Linked DNA regions of Astyanax mexicanus. The protein of the gene in region 3 purifies or fractionates together with the protein of the main gene of each other region. This does not show direct contact. Links are inferred from orthologs where the notes say so. Each region holds a gene or a part of one and is shown on either strand. Other genes may lie near its edges.

Region 1 (6,943 bases), on a different chromosome or scaffold from region 3:
ATGCTAATACAGTGTTTTGTTTAGCAAGCATTGTAACAAGGCTTTAAGTAATAAAAACTATTACTCACTTTCTCTACAAAGTAACCAGTTCCCACATCTACCAATACATGTTCTACATCATTCAGGGTTCCTGGAACATACATCTGAATGATGCAGTTAAAGAAGTTAACACCACTTAAATGCATTATAAAACACACACACACACACACACACACACACACACACACACACTTAAAGAGCATTAATTGACTGTCATTCAGTTGGTGAAAAGGATACAGAGCTGGTAAGAGGAACAAGTAATTCTTTTCCTAAAAGAAAGGAAAGAAAGAAACACAAAGGACATTATTCAATGGAGTCCTCTATTTTGAATGTTTTAGGATTTTTGTTCTAACACATTTGATCAAACACTAAAAAGACCAACTTAAAAGTGGGTGTGTAAAAGCAGAAATAAAACTATGAATGATCCACATAGGAATGTAGGGCCAAATGTCAGAATCTCAAAGGTTAGTTTTGGGATCATTGACTCTAGTAATGGAAGTCCAGCCTATCCAATACAAGATGGGATTACGTTATTTTGATCACTAAACAATACTGTACTGTGAAATACACCAACTTGTGTTTAAGCAGGAAAATCACCGAACTGTTATAGACGCAAGTCATCCAGAACAGGCCTAGGTTTAACAAGCCTCACCTTCATTACTCTTTTTGAGAACATTCAGACTGTCCTTAGCTTCTACATACTTTGTTTGGACCACTTTCAACTGGGCTATGGATGAGGACAGGAACTCTGTTTCCTAGAAGCAAGATGAAGAAAACAGCAATGATTACGAATAATGTGCAGAGCAATAAAACAGTATTTTAAATCAGGAATACAATAATCATGCAACAGCAATATACACAGACATCTGAATGCTAAACCATTATTAACATTTACACGCTGCCTAAAACACAGGTGTGGTAGTGTATTGTAAATAGATGTTTTGAATTCTGCTCCTTCTCTGACATCTACCAAACAACTCTCCGCTGCTTATTAAGGTGCTTAGTCTTTCTCTATGTAGAAATAAGAAATTCCCTAATGCTACTAAGATTGTTTTTTTTGTGCCAAGATATTTTCTGAACACCCAGCATTGATTCATTTACAGTGGCAGCATTTTAAAGTTATTAGAAAAACAATGGATATCAAAAAGTTATATTTTCCTACTAATACTAATGATTGAGCATTTCTTAATTTTAAATCTTTAATTGTAATATCAAGGAATGTGACCAGAAAATATTTAACATAAGAAATACTCGCTTCTTATCCTGGCTCACACAAGCTTACCTAGCTAAGACAAAATACAGAGCAAACAAAGAAAAATGTGGTGTGGTTTTAGCTATTCAAATGAACTTTTTCACTCTAACCCATAAGAGCCCAGACCCATTTCATTATTACTAGATTGTTATTGTTATTGTTATTACAGTCATAATTATGACTGTAGAGCTTTGTTTGGGTTCTCTCTATCTTTTCTCTTTCTCTGTCTCTCTCTCTCTCTCTTGTTTCTTCACCAAATAGTGCGCTGGATAGATAACCGTTTTGTCTCTCTCTTCCTCTCTTTCTGCGACTGTCTCTCTCCGTCTCTCCCTCCATCTTTCTCTTTCTGTCTCTCTCGCTTGTTTCTCCGCCAAATAAAAAGCTTTAGGGCAGGAAGTAGGACACTCAGACTTACTCTGGCGTTATTCCACTATCCTATTTATTAATTCATACATGAACTAATGCAGCACTTATACTCACTCTGTAAATTTAACCCAACAGTCTGTTAAAGGCACAGTGTATAATTTACTGAATACTGGCCGTTTCATATTTCCTCCAGGCCATTTATATGGTAATCCTTAAGATTTTTATACTCAGCAAATTAAGTTGGAATTCAGAAATCTTCACCAACATTTACAATCCAATTTATTGTGCTCTCTTTATTCCAGCACCCTATGTTGATTTTATCTCCCCTCAAACATAAGTATATACTATTATTTTTTATTTTAATTATTATTAATTGACACCACCAATATACATATAATTGCATTTTACATTTCTTACATTCATTCTTTTATTTACATTTAAATATTCACTATAAAAATTTATGTCTGAAGAAAAACAAATTCGATTAATCGTAAAATTTCGTTGTGATTAATCGGATTACATTTTTAAATCAATTGAGACCATTTAAAAATACACATTTAATAAGAGCTACTTTATCTCCAGCACTATCCCAGCACTCCTACGTTCTGTTAATAGGGTCAGATGAAATAACTCACATTCACACACTGTATTGTAACGATACTCAGGATGATCAGTATGTCCCTTTATGAATAATTAAAGTGAAGTACAGAGTGCTGGAAGGAATTTTACTCCGCTTTTGAAGGGTCTGAGAGACACATACTTCCCCACGGGTTATTTTGGGGGTTATTTTAAAACAATCTCAAAACAAACAGCTGAATCAAAGTGCTGTACAATAAATAATTATAAAACTTAAAAAAATAGAAATAATGTGAGTGACAAAATAGAATTAAAAACAGTAACAGTTAGCTAAAGAAAAACAATAACGATGATTTGTAGCCACGCTGTATCTACATGTGGGCGGGTTGCACAGCAGATGCAGTTCTGCACTTAGTTAACCCTGTATTTGACAAGTTTAGCTAGGTTACATAAAAAGGGGGTGATTATAGTTAAATTATTTGGTAAGTTAGCTAATACTTGCAGCACATGGGGGGCGGGGGATCTGCCTCCTCTCTCTCCCGGTCTGAGAGCAGCTAGCCGGGAGCTAACAGCAGCGTGACCGCGCCTTAACCACCCCTCACCCGCACCCAGCCACTCTGTGGCTCCGGCCCCGAGGAACTCCTGTACACAGCGTTATCCTGCAAGCGTTTAATAAACTCCAGGAGCTCACCTGTTCGAGCTGAGTCTTCAATCCCTCCAGCTGAGACAGAGATAACTCAGTCAGATTCACCGCCATGTTGAGAAAAAGACAATAAGGGACACTTCCGGATAAACCGGAAACCGATAGAGACAAGCCTATATCAGTAATAAAATGTAACAAAATAAAAGAGTGTAATATATGAGCAGTTTAAAATAAATATAGATATATTAGAAATTAAGACAAAAACACAGAATTTAAAACAGTTTTATCAAAGCTTGTTTTACTTCTGTGACATGATTTTTTGAAGGAAAAAACAAAAGCACTGCTTAAAAAGAGGTTTGAAAAAAAAAGAAAAAAAGTGTAAAATCTTAATTTAATTTAATATTTATTATTATAAACATGCATATTTATTTTTAACTTAAATGCATTCAAAGTTAAATGTATTATATTAAAAATAACAATAACACGAAAGGGACTTTGTAACTATCAAAAAAAATGGTTTGTTGCCTGACGGCAACATCATGCCATAGAGGGTTTAGAATTCAGTATCACAAAATTAAATATAAAATGTTTCCTTAACTCATAAGAGCTCATACCATTTCTAAACATTAATATCAAATTCCAAATTAAATCAGAAATTCAGTGACCAGCTCATTGTAGATCTTTATTATTGTAGGCACATGACTGTAAATATTTTATGGTTAAATCCTGATGTAACGTAAATGACACTAATTTCATAACGTGTATTTTAATAATGTGCTCTAGAAATCAGGTTAATATTGGTTCTATAGAATGTAAACCAATTTAATTAAAGTGAGTTATTAAAACAAATGGAACAGATCCATAGAAGCAAAAATACAAATAACCCAGCACTAAATAAAGTGAGATTAACACCCATTTCACACTTTGTCCTGCAGTGATGATCTCACAATATTCAGCACGTCACAGCTTTTAAAAGTGGCAAATGATAAAAGTGATTATTAATCCTGATTTACTTGATTCAGTTTATCTGGCAAATCAAGTCATGAACTAAACTTTGTGTGTTAGTCTCACAAAAGACTAAACTTAACAAAGCCTTTTTATTGATTTGGTCCATCCCATTCCATTTTTGCTCAGTAGTCACAACCTCAAATATAAATCTACATATCTAAACAGTACCACTATAAATTACAATAAGACAGGCTGCTTAAAACTGGTGTTAATTTAAGGTTCCTCTGGTTTACTGTTTGTTACACAGGATTTATATCCTATCCTATCTGTAGAACCTTGTGATTAGGCTACATAAGTCTTAAATCTTTGGAGCAGAGACAAAATAAAATGGAGCCAAATCTATAATGGCTATTCCACAGAAATACAATTAAAAGGTGAGGGGACAATAAAAAGAACAAACAAGAAAACACCACTCACACCCACAAATGTTTCCATGAATTTAATGTATCTTATGCATTTGTTGCACAATTTAAGACTGAGAGTTAAAAACAGAAAATTTCACATTTCCTTACTTGCACAAATTAAAAAAGGCTTAACAATTTAAATACAATATTTCTAAAAACGTTTATAAAAGTTTAAGAAAATCACACATGCATATATTAAACATTAAAGAATTCCACATGAAGCTGAAATTTTAAATGGCTCAGTGTTGGTAAGTATGCATCAGCCATACCACACTTGATATTATAAACAAATCCAAAACTATACACAGTTTGCTTCAAAATCTGAATACTGTGACTGAACACATCTACTCTAGCTTCAGGTCTATTGTAGGTGTACAGGTAGGCCATATGCAATTGGTGCAGCACCAATCATGTGCTTGAGGTGTGTGGCATCTCGCGAGGTACTGAGGTGCTGAAGTAAAGAAGAACCTGAACCGCCAGACAGCCAAGACTGTAACAGGGCGGAAGTGAACCGATCAATGTCACGATCAGTTACATCCCACAAGTTCCCCAACACCAACGGGCTAAAGAAGGGAAATAAAAAAAAAAAACAGCAATTTACAGGGAGAAAGACCACAACAACGGTTTCTAGTGTTTAGAAAGAGAAGTATACCAATTAGGAAGGTGACAAAAAATAAAGTAGGATTCAATTTTAATTGAGAGTTAATAATGGGAATATATTTCTTGCTAAAAAGAAAATCCACATAACATGCACTGGTGGCCTACAGTTGAAGAAAGCTAAAGCTTGGAAGATGAGGTGGGAAAGAATTAGGTTTGAAATTCACCTAATAAATCTGCAGAAGATAGGAATTTCTAAAATGCAATTAAATAAAAAAAAAAAAATCTTAACCAAGTTCATTTGTTATTTGGAATTTATTTGAGAGTTTATTTTCTAGTTTGAGACAGTTGTTTTGTAGTGGGTTGTGCTATAAAGATAAACAGATTTTATCTATCCCTTTTATTTAGTCAGATACGTGCAGTCTTATTCCACTAAACTATATAATAGCCAAACATATATTGGTAACTAAATTAGGCAATAATACAGATAGTAAATATTTTCTGGATTGTCTAATTGCTAAATAATTATGAGGAAACATTTGATGAAACTAATTTTTGTAATCAATGGTTAAATGTAATTTGTCTGACAAAATGTTGACATCAGACTTTGAATTAGAATTAAATTCATACAGTATATAAGGTAAATTTATGTAAAAATAAAATTACCATCCAGCGATGAGGTAGCTAAGGATGATGCCGGTTCCCTCGAGGCAGCCCTGCACACTAAGTGCTGCACTACTGCAGCCAAAAAGCAGAGCCGCCGCTTGCACGGGTCCCTTCATCACCCTCTGAGCATCCAGGAAGCGTGCCCCTGCTCCATGTCCTACATAACTGCAATCCATAAAATAAAAGGCAAGTTTAGTCACTTTAAAAAAAAAAAAAAAAAATTGATGGTAATGAAGTGCAAATTTTGAGAGGCTCACTCACATATACAAGTCTTTGGTGGTTATTGCTTCCTGTAGTTTATCAGGATCAGGAGAAACTCCACACACTCCCTGCCATGTCTTCTCACTGAACAGCAAAAGGCAAAATTCACTTTAAGAAATTATACAGAGATTTGACCAGTCAAACAGCATGGTGGTGCATGCGTGTAATACAAACCTAGTAAACCAATCTCTGAAGCGCTTTTCAGTCTCAGGCAGGTTTCCATCTGGGTTCAATACAAAATAAACTTGCTGGGGATCTACACCACGTGACAGCACACAGTCTGAATTCATCTGAAAGTAGAGGAAAATACTCAAATAAATGACTCAAAACAATCTCAAGAAAATCATCCACAATTCAAGTAAAAATAAAACCTTCAAAATAACTAATAATGGCTGCACCTTTTGGAGATGGCCATGTCCTAGTACAGCCTGTAAAGAAGGCATGCGGGAGACAGAGCGAGGCCTCAAACAAGAGATGTTCTCCCATGGCAACCTTTGAAGGTACTGCATAGACACACACACAAAAAATATTAAAAACAAAGGATTTTTTGCCATCTGTGAAAAAACATTTAATCTTATTATAGCACTAGCAGCACTATACAAGTGTCATACTGTATAGTAAATTAATCAGTACGCAGACAAGACTTTATTTAGTAGTACTACCAAATTAAGAAGAAGGGTGGGAGAAAAAAAAAAAAAAAAAACTTTTCCTACCTTGTCTAAGATTAGAACTGTATGTCCTTGAGGCTCTTCCCTCCCTTTCAGTTCAGACACACCCTTCTGTAGAAGCTTCAGGAAATTTCCCTCCATCAGACCTGCACCCTCAGCCAATGAGTGTAGGTCTGATTGAGAGAGCAGAGGAGCTGCAGAAAGAACCACCTTGAGGCAGAAAAAAAGAAAATTTAAAATCATGCAAATGCACCTCAGGTTTTTGTTATTGCTGTATGACCAATAACAAAACACAGATCAATGCCTTTAGTAAGCTTATAATTTGTAAGCATCATACAACATTGTAGACACAGACCTTAAGCATGCCCGAAGTGATCTTTGCTCCTTCTATCGAGGCTTGGAGAGTTTCAAGCTGAACTTGAAGTTTAGGGTCAGAAGTCAAGGGGAGGAGCAAAGCTCGCCA
Region 2 (7,312 bases), on a different chromosome or scaffold from region 3:
AAATCATATTTGAGACACTTTCATATATGGTCCTAAATCAGATACAAATTCGATCCATGGACATGCAAATATCCATGGAATATGTCAAATCAGAATTCATGCGTCTTTTTGCTTTTACACATTAGCATTAGCACTACATGCTTCTCTCTCGTACCCACACTACATCTCTTGGTGCAGCTGTACAGCTATAGCTGCAAAAACAGCAAAAGCAAACCGCCTGGCCTTTTTTCACCTCCTCGACCTGAGCATGAACTTCAGACCAGCTGTTTGCTGTTTCTCCACTCCAGCAAAAGATGCTCCACATATGAGCTGCTAACGCATCCATTTCCCTTTACACATTTACGAGTCATCTCTTAAATATGACATTTTTTGTTGTTGGTGAAGAAGAAGACGTTTATACTCGTATCAATCTGCGCATGTGAGAGGTTTCAGGGACAGATTCGTTCACATTACACACAGATACAGACCACTTACATTTATAAATGTAAACCATCAAGAAAATCTGATTTGAGGAACGTGGCTTGTAAATTAAACGTAGCCAATATGCTCTAGGTTTCTTCAGAAATCAAGATTACTCATAGGGAGCTATAAAATTGCAATAAAAGCTTCTACAAGCTGTGAAGATGATTTAAGCTGTGAGTGCTGTCATTGAATTAACTAATTAAAAGAGATCTAAGGTCTGGACATTTTGGACAGGTAATATAGGATTTAAAACCGAAAATCACCATATATTACCTAATCTAAAGATAATTTCTGAGATACGTACATGCGCCCGACTCCTTCATACATCCGAGTGCTGTCAGGAAGGGAGGTTATCTCCACATGTGTCAGATTGGAGTGCTTCTTCATGCGACTCAACTGCTCGATCTGCAGGTCGGCGATCTTGACTTTTTGCTGCGTATCAATCATTTTAGCTTGCAGTTCAGCAAAGGCCTAGAGCACAACACACAACACAATATCTATTAATGAAGTATCTATAAACATAAATTCAGAACAACAAAACTCTTTAACATGACAAAAACATACACAGTGTAGTTATATACAGTATGCTTTAAAATATAAATATACAGAACTTTTTACAAGCGTTTTAGGTACCTTACCACATCATTTTAAAGCATTTATCTCTGCAATAAGTGTATTTTTGCTTGTAAACACAGTATAAATTTGCTTGCTTTTTATTGTTATTTTTAATACTACTGAATGGCAATTTACATAAAGGCAAAACAAATATTTTAACACTACTGTGATAAACCATGTAATTTTTTTTTTCAAGAGGATATTTTACACATCTTTACAGAACTTTTTCTTTTTTCCATGTGTAACAACTAATCAAAGCAAACAAAAGCATAAAAATTAAATACTAAGTATTTATAAAAATATTTTATTATATGGTCCACACCAGATCCGGGCATTGTGTGCTCCACATGCTACATTCAGCTCTTTAGTTTTTGATAACCACCTCTTTGCATATCCACTTAAGCAATTGAGCAAGACTTTATTAGCCCAAATAGTCTATATTTCTCTTACTAAACCCAGTATTTAGACAACAAACCAAATAGCCACTCAGATAGCAAAAGGATGTTGAACATTAACATTCATTTTTCCATTGCTAATGTACTGAAACAATACTGGTCACCCACGTCAGAAGTGATTTATTTATACACATCAATTTCATGTTGATTCAAAAGTAGGTTTTATGTGTACAGTTTGCATTAAACTTTAATGACATTAAAATAAGTAATCTTGTTTGTAGTGTATTTTATAGCCTGCACTGTATAATAGTAATTTGTATATTAATATTAGGTATTTTTGGGAAGCACCTTTTATCTATAAGCGTTGTTAGTGTAGATTCAGAGCTCCAACTAGGGGTGTGACGTATCATATCGTACGCAATAATATGGCCAACATTTTTTAATATCGTATATTATATCGTATATTATACCCCGAAATATTGTGTCATATCACCCACCCCTAATTATCACATCAGAGTACTATTTTTTTTTTTTGCTGTTGTTAGCTAAAGAAAAATTTACACTGGTCTTATTTCCCATTATATATCTACTAGAGGCAGATTATATCTGTCCAGTAATATTTATTTTACTTCAGTCCTGGATATATGGAGCTATATGGAGTGTATTATTAGTATCATGACATTCTGTATTTTTTACTTTTGTTACAAATCTGATACAATTATTTTATTTTTTAATATATCAGTTAGGGGTGTGCCATATCATATTTTGTTGCAGTAGTCTATTCTTATTTTTTTTTATTCAGTGCCATATCGCCAAGAATATTGTATACTCTGAAATATCATAATATTATTTTTGGGTCATATCACCCACTCCTAGACCAAACTATTCAAAATGAAATGAATGCAACTTTATTGCAAAATATTTTCTCTTTTGGTTCTTACTGTTTATTTCTTTGCTTTTGGTTTTTTTAACTGGCACTATATTCATTGCAAAAAAAGTTTGAGGTGCTACAGCTCAGGGATGTTTTAATGTTTTTTTTTTCTTCATGTAAAGCTTTTTTGAGTTGCCATTGTGTGTGAAATGCGCTGTATAAATAAACCTGCCTTGCCTCAGCATTATTGGAAGGATTTATTTTAGCTACAGTGGCTAGCTAAAACCTAGCCAAGGTCATATCCTACATCCAAATAATCCTAAACTGGAATCTGTGTCTGGATAACAGCCTCTATAAACTGTTAGGTAGTAGTGAGGCTAATACCAATAATACATCGTTAAATAACCAAGTAAATAGCTATAATAAACCCGGAGCTGTGTATTGTGTAGCATTAGCTACTGTTAGCCACTCCGCTTTATTCAGTTTATATCTGTGCTGTTTAATCAGAGACCCTGATCAGAACCCGCTTTAGCTGTTTCACACCCCGATCACACAGAATAATCCCAGCTCAGAAACCCACAGCTACCGTAACAGCGATCATCAGCCACGCTTTACCTTCTTCAGCTCTAGGTCTACGGGGGCTGCCATGTTGCAGAAGGCAGGGCGAGTGTCTGCGCATGCGTACTGAAGACAGTCCACTCCGGGTTGCCAAGGTGAAGCAGAAGGCTGCTTTGGCTTTTTTGTGAGAAGAGTTAAGATATCATTACAATACCATTGAAAAGTTACTTTATTTCAGTAATTCAGTTTAAAATGTGAAACTCATATTTTATATAGATGTATTACACATAGAGTGGTCTATTTTAAGTTTTTATTTATTTTATTGTTGATGATTATGGCTCACAGCCAATAAAAACCCAAAAATCAAAGTCTCAGAAAATTAGAATATTATGTAAGGCCAAGGGCGTAGGAGCGGGCTTGATATTGGGGGGGGGACACATTTGCCAATATGAACCTAAGCCCACTCTATAGTTTCCTAGAACAACATTTGTGGAATTTACTTTTAATTAAAAGTAAATTATTATTATAAGGTGATTTTACAATCTAAACATGTTACTCCATGTTACAGTTACTGTGGTTAGAAAAAAATATGCATGCAATGTCTGAATTATATACATATGACAATAATGATCAGTTATCACCTAATATTTAAAATAATACAGATTTGGTTATTATTATTATTATTATGTATTGGCATGTCAATTCTGTCGTATATTTACATTTTCTCCTGCGCATAACAGAAGTCATGTTACAGCTGTGTTTCTCAACCCTGTTCTTACATATTCTACTGCATATTAACACTGTTCTGTGTTGTGTATTCTGCATATTCTACAGCTTACTCTGCTTTAAAGGCATTTCATAGAGTAAGTGGTGGAATGATGTGTCTAATAAACTGCTGGATATACATGATTAATTTAGGATCCATAGAGGGCTAAAGGGTTTTAACAGGTAAACTCAGTAAATTACTGTTTATTAGCTGATCAGCTGGATCAGGTGGAAAACACTATTTTGGGGGCAGTGACCAGGGTTAAGAAACTGCTTTAAACTACAAACGTAAAGTACTGTACTAAATTCTGGCTATCCACTACATGCAGCTTCTAGATAACTAGTTAGCTAAATTAATTTTCGTTCATTATAGCTCACAGTAAGTCCTGCAATCCTAAATTAATAAACAAAGTTTGAAAATGAAATAGTGAATAGCTGATCAGGTACAGGGCAAGTTGAACATTATATATATAGTTTTTTTTCTTTAACCCTGACTCCCAATCTAGCTCATTCCAAAGTTAAGCTAACTCACTAACACAGCTGCAGTTCATTAATCACAGTGGGTTTAAACTGTGTGCTGATTCAGAGACGTGTATTTTTAACCAGCTATCAGAAACATATCATCACAGTTGAAGTGGTTAGCCTATCGTTACCTTTCTTTTAGTAAAATCTCCGTATATCCATCTCTGTTTTAAAATCAGCTGAAGCTGCTGCGTCCCGATCCCGCTGCTAAATCTCACAGCGAGGGGGCGGGGCTTCCCCAACAGCAAACTGCCTCTCCTCCGCGCGCCGCAAAACCAGCAAGATTGGCTGTTTCTGCCAATCTACTGAGAGGCGGGACTTAATACCTGAACAGGCTCCGTGATTGGTCCGGTCTGTCTCCTCATTAATAGTACAGCTGATCTGAGTGAAACGATATAATTTTTGGGGGGGACAAATCGACCTGTTTCTAATATTGGGTGGGACATGTCCCACCCATCCCCCCCGGTTCCTACGCCAATGTGTAAGGCAAATTGGTACTTTTGGCAGTGTGGGCAGTGTGCCAAGTCCTGCTGAAAAATGAAATCCGCATCTCTATAAAAGTTGTCAGCAGAGGGAAGCATGAAGTGCTGTAAGATTTTCTGGAAAACACTGCACTGACTTTAGACTTGATATAAACACAGTGGATCAACACCAGCAGATGACATGACTCTCCAAACCATCACTGGTCATCAGTAAACTTTACATTTAATTTTTTAATCAAGGGAGCAGAGTCTGAAGGAAGAGTGGAGAGCTTCCACAATCAGAAATGACTGTTTTATTGTGTTTTTTATTTGCCAATTTGAGGGTTTAGGGAGGCACAGCCTTTTGGTGTATCTTAATGAGCGTATCTGGCAACCCGAGTCTTCTTCACTCAACATCACACACGCGGTTGGGAGTCAGACATTGCAGACAGAGACTAATGTTCTTTGATGAAATTGTGTAATAGACGTTGTTGTGGTTGTCTGTATGTGTCGTAATTGTACATATATACTGTACCAGAGGACACACCTTAAATTGAGTTTAAATTGTTCTGAATTGTAGATTAAAGTAATCCAAACTATGATTTGTTTATTAAACAAAACATGTTAAACAAACCAGAATATGTTTTGTATTTTAGTTTCTTTTAGAAGACACCTCTTGTTTAGATGAAAGCTTTGCACATATTGGCTGGATTTCCTCAGTCAGCTTTATAAAGTAGAGTCACCTTGAATGGATTTCAGTTAACAGCTGTGCTGAACTTGTCCAGAGTAAATTAATGTGTTTGAGAGCATCAGTTGTAAAGTTCTGAAATGCTTTACATTTTTAACATGTTTAATTTTACTACATGATTCCTTATGTGTTTCTTCATAATCTGGATTTCTTCAGTATTCATTTACAATAAAGGGAAAATAAATAAAAAACATTGAATGGTAAAGTGTGTCCACACTTCTGACTGGTACTGTGTGTAGTTTTTGCTGTCTGAGCCGCATTTGCCATTACAAGCAACTTAGCATTGTATTGGACAGATGTCCAATGCCAGTATCAGTATTCATGCATCTCTAATCTAGACGAGTTCAGGTCCTGATAACTGCTGTATGAGAACCAGAACCAACACATCTAACCGCTACTGACTAATTAATGCAGCATCTAGTGACAAGCTCTTAGTCAGTGACTGTGTATAAGCTACAAAAATGTTCACACATATTTGTGGTATGTTGTAGTCAGTATAAAACACATTTTCAACTTTAATATCTTTCATTTTACCTGATTTATTTATTTGTTTATTAATAATTTAGGAAACATAAAAAAAAATAATACTGCAGAACAAAACAACTTATGTACAAAGTCTAAAAAGAACACACATTTTATTTTTTCACAGTATTCACAAGATAAATTAGACAAATGTAAAAAAAATTACAAATAAATACAGTAAAACAAATACAGTAGTGTAAGTATTTGGACAGTGAAAGTTCTTTTGTTTACTTCTGTTGTGTGCTGGAATTACAAATACAATAAATATTTCTTAACATTTCAGAATGAGCAGTAGCAGTTATGCTTTGTGACTCTGAAAACTCTTAAATGTTGAATCACAAAGCCAAAAGAACAGAAAAAGAATTAGATCACTGTCCATTTACAAACTACTACATAGACCGGCAGTGCACTTAGTACTTACACACAATGATTATTTAACTAAATAAATAGATAAATAAAAAACGTTTTAAGTTATAAAAATAAATAGAAGGGAAACAATACATACAACACAAACACAAAGCTACATTCATTGACTTTCTTCATTTGTATTACACACAGGTTGATTTATCAGGAGTGAGGCATCTCACCATACCTCTCTGGGGAGGAGTGTGCTCCAAGAATTGAGAATTTGGGAGCAACTAGGGCTGTGACTGTTACCGCATTACGGTCATACTACAGTCATTTGATGATTACTGCTGTATTTAGCGAATTACCATTATCACCGCAGTTATTATTTATTTATAAAATAATTACAGTTCCAGCTTTAATATCTGATGGACTGAGCCACATTAATTAACAGTGGAAGAAACAGAAACAAACCAACTGTTCTCCGCATGTCCAAAAGTGCTCTGTTACCACTGACCAGTTCTCTCCATCTGTCTTGCCATCAGTATGATCACCTGCAGGAAAAAAAACAATTGTAACTGATTGTTAATAATTAATACAGAACATAATAATAATAATAATAATGATACATTTGTAGTGGTTATTTTTTTGGCCTTTATTCAACACAGAATGCACACAAAAAAAGTTATATTTTTCATCATTATATATTACAATGCTCACCCTTCTTCATCAGCACTATTGTACACTCGCTGCCTCAAGTTTGATCTTCTCCTCACTTTCTGTCTCTATTTCACCTTTTTTATGACACCTGCGAAAAATACATGCAGTATTGTTAGTATGTTTTGCAAAACAAAAACAGTGTATGCAAATGCAAATGTGTCCAAGGTAGGGGTGGGCGATATGGCCCTAAAATAATATCACAATATTGCAGGGTATTTATAGTGAGGTATTTTTAAATTAGTTTTAATGAGAATAAATGTAGACGTTTCTTACATTCAGTTGAAAAAAATCTATAAATGTTTGTCCATTTCATAAACCATAACATACA
Region 3 (7,819 bases):
AGTGCCTGGCAAAAAGCACAAAATAACTGGGCCTCAGAAAGCTGCAGGAGAGTGGTGGTGGGCTGTTTAACAAAGGTATAACTTTTAAGCATGTTTTACTACACCAAAAGTCAATTAAAGTTCTCCTTTGAGCCAGCATTGCTCCTCAGGTGTGAGCTGAATACTTACCCCAAGCCACAAACACACTTTATCTGTGGGAGGGACGGAGGCCTTGCAGTACACGTTATCAGCCAAAAGGAAGTGAGTCGCCATTGGATCTGTAGTGTCCTGTACCAAGACAAGGAGACATTACTGAATGAGTAGACTGAAAAAAGGAGAGCAGAAAGACAGAAGCTGATTTTTATTACTACAGTTAACAGTATTGCTTACCTTTTTCTTCTGCATGTGCCGTAAGATTTCTAACGTCTGCTTGATTTGTGGAATCTGGCTTTTCAACCTAAACAAGGCAAAATTCCACATTTCACAACTTCTGGACCGCTAGGATTTGTACTGGCTCATTTCAAGCCCATTTCAGCAATCACACACTATGACTAGGACTGGAAATATGTTAAAATACTTCATAAATAGAGCACAATGACACAGCAAATTATGTCTGACACCATATTTGAGGTCCTGATGAACCATTACATTAAATGCATTCCAACCATGACAGGCAGTCAAAGTAGCATATGTGACAGTGGCAGCATTTGTGGAGGTCAGGCAATTTTAATTGATAAAAAGTTTATCTCCTCTGAAGAAAGCGTCCAATAAAAGGTAAATGCCACTGGGTATCACTAATATAAAAATATATGCAGAGAGCAAGGCCAATTGTGCTCACTTGGGACTTTAGGATAAGAAACACTGTGCCACTGCAAGGGAATGAACACTCAACTGTCAACAAAAGCATTGTATTCTTTTAGAACAAAACCGGCTAATGGTTAACCATTACTTGTAAAGAACATTATTTGTAAAGGACAATTAATAAGATAATTAGAACCACAAAAAAACACAAAATAAAGCAGCCATACCTCACAATAATAATAATAATAATAATAATAACAATAAACAAACCGGAGTTTCTTCTGGGACAGGTTAAGCTCCATATATTTATATTTCTGATACTGTTCATCGAGCTTCCTTAGTACAGCATCTGCTGTGTCATTGCCGGGCTGCTTCATAAAGGAGTCCACATCCTCCTAAAAGAAAGAAGAGACAGTCATGTACCTGGACCTCAGGTCAATAATTAAATTAACCCAATAATGAAAGTGGCATGCAAAATTATAAATGATATGCTTAGACTGGATTTGTTCATTATGCTTCTTTCCCAATAATGAAAAGTGCTTTAATAAGTGATATTTGCACATACTATTTTGTCCAGTTAATGAAAAGAATTATCTGAGGCTAAAAGTCCCTGAAAAAAAGAAGGATGAGGGGGCAAACTGACTTGGTTCTTGCTTTGTCATGACTCCAGTAAACAGTACTCTGATACAAACCAGCAGCACTTTTAGCCCATTGTTTAATGATACATCAACATAAAGCACAATAAACATATACATCGACAGATGTAAATCTTCTCCATTTCTTTTTGGTTGTAAAAACCTTCTCCATTTGTGATGTTTACTACTGTTACACTGAAAAATAAAGATTACAGCATTTTTTTCTGTACAGTATAATACATTTGCAGATATGTCATAACAAGCATCTTCCAGTGTGAAATTCTGTATAAATTCCATTAGGAATGATGCTTACGAGCTATATATTTAGCAAATATGATGTTGTACTAGTACATAAACCTTTTTTTTTTATATAATTATTTTATACAGTATTTCCTGGACTTTACATTTACATTATTTGCTGGTTTTCTACCAGAAATTAATTAATTAATCAAAGAAGAAAACATGTGTCCATGGAAATATATGTTAACTGTAACTGTAACATATGAAGATATATAATCTATGTTCTCCAGATAATCAACAATAAGATGAAGAAGAAGAAGAGAATTTATTCAGTATTTATTGGACTTTATATTTATATTATTTGCTGGTAGTGCTACCCCAAACAATCAACTAACATTATTTTAGAGATTAAACTAAATATATTTATTAAAAAATAATAATAAAAAGAAAGAAAACACTGAACGAGAAGAGGTGTCCACATTGATATACATTGACTGTTACTGTATGTTAATGGTAACATATAAAATATTAAATCTATGTGCTTCAGACAATGATTTTATAGAAGTCTTTCATTAAAAACGTTTATATTGGCTTATTATTAATATTAATATGATAATAATAATAATAATAATAATAATAATAATAATAATAATAATAATAATATTTTGCTTTACAATATTTACTAGACTTTACATTTACATTATTTGCTGATAGTGCTACACCCAAATAACCAACCTATCATTATTTTGGAGATTAATAATTATAATATTATATTGGATATAAAATCCAGCCTCTGTAGTCAGTAAACTACTGCAGCAGCTAACCAAGCTATGCTACTATTCATCATTAACGTTACAGTCAATGGGCCATACAAAACTCTCCACTACAGAACAGTAATAAAAGGCTAGTATAAGGAGAAAACCTATCAGAGCCGTTATGAACTTAAGTTATATGCACTGTAGCTGCTAGAAAAATATAGACTGCTGATTTTGTAACACAGAAAATCTCATTTTTAGCCTCCATTTGTTCTTAAAGCAGCATTAGCCTGGGCCACAGCCTTAAAAGGAAACGGCCAGGCTGCAGCACCGCGCTAACTCAGCGGGCTCGCTAACGGCTTTAACCCCGATAAACAGCTTCCAAACCGGCTTATAAAACATCTCCGAGCCCTCTTACACCTCCCTGTCCGCGGCTCACTCACCACGAAGATCGCTTCGGGGATCCCGAGGTGTTTTTTCTTGCTCGCAGCTCCAGCATTGCTGCTCTCTATGGTCGTCGCCATTTTGGAAAGACCCGTAGCCCTTCCTCTTTAGGTGACGTTGGGCGTTTCTCCGGCCAGCCGCCCGGCCTTTATAAAGCTGCAGCAGCGTCCCGGAGGGTTTAACGCTGATAATCAAAGGCTTCTGCTTAGTTAAAGCTCTGAATCTGAGCTTTATTAGCGGTACATTCTCAGATATTTTATTTTAAACTGTTCATATGGTTACATATTGTACAGATACAGAGCGGGGTTTTGTGTGTTGGAGCAGTTCACAGATCCACCGGCAGGTGGCATCATTTATCCAAAATCCCTCACTCCCTCACTAAGGCCCAATCCCATTTATCTTTTTTACCCTACCCCTTGTTTTCGAGTGTAATTGGGACAAGCCTTCAAGCACCCGATACAGATATACAGCTCTGAAAAAATTGAGACCACTTCAGTTTTTGAATCATTTTTTTGATTTTGCTATTTATAGGTATATGTTTGAGTAAAATGAACATTGTTGTTTTATTCTATAAACTACTGACAACATTTCTCCCAAATAAAAAAAAAAATACTGTCATTTGGAGCGGGAAATTTGCAGAAAATGATACATGACTGAAATAACAAAAAATATGCAAAGCATTCAGACCTCAAATAATGCAAAGAAAACAAGTTTATATTCATAAAAAGTTTCAGAAATCAATATTTGGTGGAATAACGCTGGTTTTTAATCACAGTTTTCATGCATTGGCATGTTCTCCTCCACCAGTCTTACACACTGCTTTTGGATAACTTTATGCCACTCCTGGTGCAGCTTGGTTTGATGGCTTGTGATCATCCATCTTCTTCTTGATTATATTCTAGAGGTTTTCAATTTGGTAAAATCAAAGAAACTCATTATTATTATTTGATTTTATTATTTTTTTTTCCCAGAGCAGGTGCATCTAAAAAAGAATATAATTGAAAAGTTACTTTATTTCGGTAATTCATTTCATTCAGTAAATTGCATTATGATTATGGGTTATAGCCAATAAAAAACCCAAACTCAGTGTCTCAGAAAATGTAAATTTTATATAAATCCAATCCATACTTTTAGCAGTGTACTTTGGGCAGTGTGTCTCCTTTTTATTCACCTGTTTTCTAATGCTCTCTCTCTCTCTCTCTCTCTCTCTCTCTCTCTCTCTGTCTCTGACTCTCTCTCTCTCTCTATGCAATGTTAATCTTCAGTGTGAGGCTCTTTAGTACTGAGAACTGTGTCTCTATTAGTGACGTGTCTCTGGGCTGCTGCTGTGCTCTGCTGGGCCGCTGGGCTGTCATGGTGATACAGCAGATTAGGGTGTGAACGTTACCGCAGGAGATGTGAAATGTGTGTCAGTGGAAGAGTATAAATGAGACTTCAGACGAGGACTAAATCAGTGCTACTGCTGTTAAACTCAGAGCTGCAGCTTATAGAGCACCAGTTTCTGCTGTAGGATCTTTAGTTCTCAGTTCTGATGCTATTTCTGGATAAAAGCTAAATTTATACTCAAACCTGTCAGTGTATATTCCCACATGAATCCCCTTATACATCAACAGCTACAGAGTGGAGAAATATGGAAAAAGGATTAACTGAGGCATTGAGCAAATAGAAATGCAGCATTCATTTCTCAAGAATGAAAGATGATTTTGGTGAATGAGGACCAATGATCCTTGTGTACTAACATTACAGTCATGACTATTCATACTGAGCTATTTACATATTCATCATATTAATGTTCCAAACATATATCTATAATTATTTTCCTGTAATAAAGCTTCTAATATTAATATCTGGTTTTGTACATGTATGTAGTGTTATGCTCACACATATGGACTTAATATTTCATTGCTGTATATCCATTAGTTATACAGTTGCATTTAATGTTGTTGTTTTGCTGTCTGATTTTCTGCTCTTTTAAGTCTTGATTCTTTCTGGTTGTGAGTTTGATGTTGCTCAACGATGTAACTAAACATCATTTTACATTACATTACATTTGGCAGACTTACAATAGTGAAGTACAAAAGTAATAAGTTAAAGGTAAAAACATCTTTAGATAGGGTCTAAAGGAGGTCAAAGGGAAATAATGGGATAGAGGAGTGAAGGAGGGGAAGAAGGAAATGAGGTTAGAAGTAGTTAGTGTGTTAGAGGTGTTAGGAGAGTAAGTGCTCCCTGAAGAGCTCTGTCTTCAGGAGTTTATTAAAGATAGTGAGAGATTCTCCTGATCTGGTAGTGGAAGGTAGTTTGTTCCACCATAGGGGAACTCTGTATGAGAACAGTCTGGATTGCTTTGTGTGAATGTTTGTTTGGTAAAGTGAGGCGACGTTCATTGGAGGAGCGCAGCGGCTGGGAGGTAGTGTAAGCCTTCAGGAGTGAGTGCAGGTAGGAAGGAGCTGTTCTGTCATCACCTTGTTGGCGACTGTAAGAGCTTTGAATTTGATGCATTAACTGGTAGCCAATGGAGCTCAATGAGCAATGGGGTGACATGTGCCCGTTTTGGCTGGTTGAAGACCAGACGTGCTGCTGCATTCTGGATCATTTGGAGTGGTTTTACTACGCAGGCCGGGAGGCCAGTTAGCAGGGCATTGCAGTAGTCGAGGCGTGAGATGACGACTGCTTGTACCAGGAGTTGGGTGGGCTGTTGCGTCAGAAACTGTCGAATTTTTCAGATGTTATAAAGCGCGAAGCGGCAGGATCGAGCAACTGAGGCCACATGGTGCGTGAAGGAGAGCTGGTCATCAACCATAACACCCAGGTTCCTAGCAACCTTTGTCGGTGAGAGAGAGAGAGAGTCGATGCTTATAGAGAAGTTGTGTTGAAAAGATGGTTTTGTTGGTATAACCAGAAGTTCACTCTTTGAGAGATTTAGTTGACGGTGATGCTCCTTCATGAGGATATGTCTGAGAGACACTGCAATATCCGTGCAGAGATTGAGTGATCTTCAGGTGAGAATGAGAGGTATAGCTGGGTGTCATCAGCAAAGCAATGCATTTAATCACTTTATACCATTCACAAATGAAATGGTTAATAAGAGTTCATTGCTGTTGCAATAACATGGCCTTGTTGCACAGTTTAAATCCTTCTTAAATGACAGAAAAAAATGAAACCGCACTGAATGTATTGATCCAGTGTTCTTGGCATCTCCCTTTTACAGCTCCATTTCATAATCCCAAATGTGAAATAAAGCTACAGGAACACAGCAATTAGAGACACAGTGTTCTCTGAACCGTAGCTGTGCATCTATAGATCACCATAAAGTAGGACTCTTAAAACCCTGATCCAGCTGACCTTGAGGAAAATGAGGCCAGCTGAGCTATAGCATGAAGATTCATCCCTCTTGAAGAACCCTCTGGGTTATATTAGGTGTTGGAGGGCATTTAGACATTCTATAAGATATACAGCGTCACTGTCCTATGAAAAACACTAATCTCTATTTTGTCTATTTTTAGTTTACTACATAATTTGAACAGACAAACTATCCCTTACACTGTCCCAAAATTTCTTAATGAACAGACCAATAGAAACTCCTCATAATGACCTGAAATAAACTCTTTTTACATTAACTTTCTTTGAACATTTACAAGGTTTTTTCTCTCTTCTGTAAGGTTGCTGTTTTGGAGATTTTGGAGTGTTTTTCATTGGACAGTGACAAATGTGTATTGATGGTGTGTGATATATGTGTAATGGTGGAGCAGACGGGAGGCGGACGTAAAAGCGAGTAAGACAGGATTTATTAAATAACATAAACAAAGAAACAAATAAGGAGTAAACGAGGAAATATAAATACATAAACAAACAGGGAAAATAACCAAGAACTAAACTAGACAGATAATAACTAAACAGGGCTGGGGATATATGCAAGGAAATAAACGTAAATATATACAAGAAATAAACAAGGAAACAAACTAGAGATAGAAACACGGAATAAACAGAGAATAACTGATAAACAAAGAACTATGGAGCGTGGAAAAACTACTATAAACGTGGCAAGACAAACGACAGAGGAAGGTGCAAAGACCGAAGACCAAACATAGACAAAAGGGTACTATTTATACTAATAGGAAACAATGAACTCCTGGGGCGACAGGTAACGAGGGGCGGAGCTACAATTTACAGACACGTGAGGGAAAATAACTGGGGAAACGCAGAAAACACAGGGAAACAGAGCAGGGCGTGACTATATGAAGACTGTTAGCAAATTTTTACAGCTACATGACTGTGCCAGTATGTGTGTGTATATGTTTGTTCTTTTATTGTTATTCGTTATTTATAAGTGTTTGTTTAGCACATATGGTCAGCACAGTCATAATGACTAGACATGGTTCCTTCTGAGGCTGTGAGAATTGTTTATTGGATAATATTAGGACCATTTATCTGTATATAATATCTCTAAAAATAAATCTGACTATGAAAAACAGCTGATCTTGCATACAGGCTACAATAATGTGGAAAGATCTGAGACTTTACATAATATTATACAGCTATTAATGATGTCAGTAAACATTTATAAAGGACTCCAAAGTTGTTCTAAGTTAGATTAATTAAATGAATAATGAATGGAAATGGACAAATAAACAGTTAATTGTGTTTTATTATGTCTTATAGAGAAAGACCAGTATGACTTTATTTGGATGGTCCATTAGAGATGCCTCAACTGACATTTAACCAACATTTAGCTGAATATTTACTTACTATGTTATTTTTCTTTTCTCACATGCATGGAGGCAGAAGGGCTATATAAGGACTGTATGCACTATATAACACCAGGGTCAAGGTATCCAGATGTGGGTATAAAAAGCTCATGATCTAATCAGCATCATTGCTCACTCCAAAGCAAAAACCTGAGTGACTTGTATGATGCAGTATTGTTGCACTGTAGAGGGAGAAACTAGGGAAATCCCTTCCCAGCTT

Evidence for each region.
Region 1: the proteins of vbp1 (region 3) and pfdn5 purify together in Homo sapiens (affinity purification with mass spectrometry; 7 studies listed by BioGRID and IntAct, counting the BioPlex papers as one, with this or other methods). This does not show direct contact. The link is inferred for Astyanax mexicanus from reciprocal best matches to the Homo sapiens genes VBP1 and PFDN5.
Region 2: the proteins of vbp1 (region 3) and pfdn1 purify together in Homo sapiens (affinity purification with mass spectrometry; 4 studies listed by BioGRID and IntAct, counting the BioPlex papers as one, with this or other methods). This does not show direct contact. The link is inferred for Astyanax mexicanus from reciprocal best matches to the Homo sapiens genes VBP1 and PFDN1.

Annotation. Positions count from the first base shown.
Region 1 is NC_064412.1:17,137,571-17,144,513, reverse strand, and holds the start of pfdn5 (prefoldin subunit 5), read right to left. Parts: upstream 3,043-6,943; 5' UTR 2,991-3,042; coding exon 2,925-2,990; intron 795-2,924; coding exon 692-794; intron 309-691; coding exon 277-308; intron 144-276; coding exon 69-143; intron 1-68. Other genes in the region: espl1 (separin), read right to left, coding at 4,650-4,851, 5,552-5,716, 5,813-5,896, 5,987-6,102, 6,211-6,315, 6,526-6,690, 6,836-6,943. UniProt on the Homo sapiens protein: Binds specifically to cytosolic chaperonin (c-CPN) and transfers target proteins to it. Binds to nascent polypeptide chain and promotes folding in an environment in which there are many competing pathways for nonnative proteins.
Region 2 is NC_064424.1:11,021,900-11,029,211, forward strand, and holds the start of pfdn1 (prefoldin subunit 1), read right to left. Parts: upstream 3,066-7,312; 5' UTR 2,992-3,065; coding exon 2,959-2,991; intron 934-2,958; coding exon 767-933; intron 1-766. Other genes in the region: hbegfb (heparin-binding EGF-like growth factor b), read right to left, coding at 7,000-7,072. UniProt on the Homo sapiens protein: Binds specifically to cytosolic chaperonin (c-CPN) and transfers target proteins to it. Binds to nascent polypeptide chain and promotes folding in an environment in which there are many competing pathways for nonnative proteins.
Region 3 is NC_064415.1:17,237,847-17,245,665, forward strand, and holds the start of vbp1 (prefoldin subunit 3), read right to left. Parts: upstream 3,002-7,819; 5' UTR 2,935-3,001; coding exon 2,854-2,934; intron 1,176-2,853; coding exon 1,051-1,175; intron 437-1,050; coding exon 370-436; intron 268-369; coding exon 169-267; intron 1-168. UniProt on the Homo sapiens protein: Binds specifically to cytosolic chaperonin (c-CPN) and transfers target proteins to it. Binds to nascent polypeptide chain and promotes folding in an environment in which there are many competing pathways for nonnative proteins.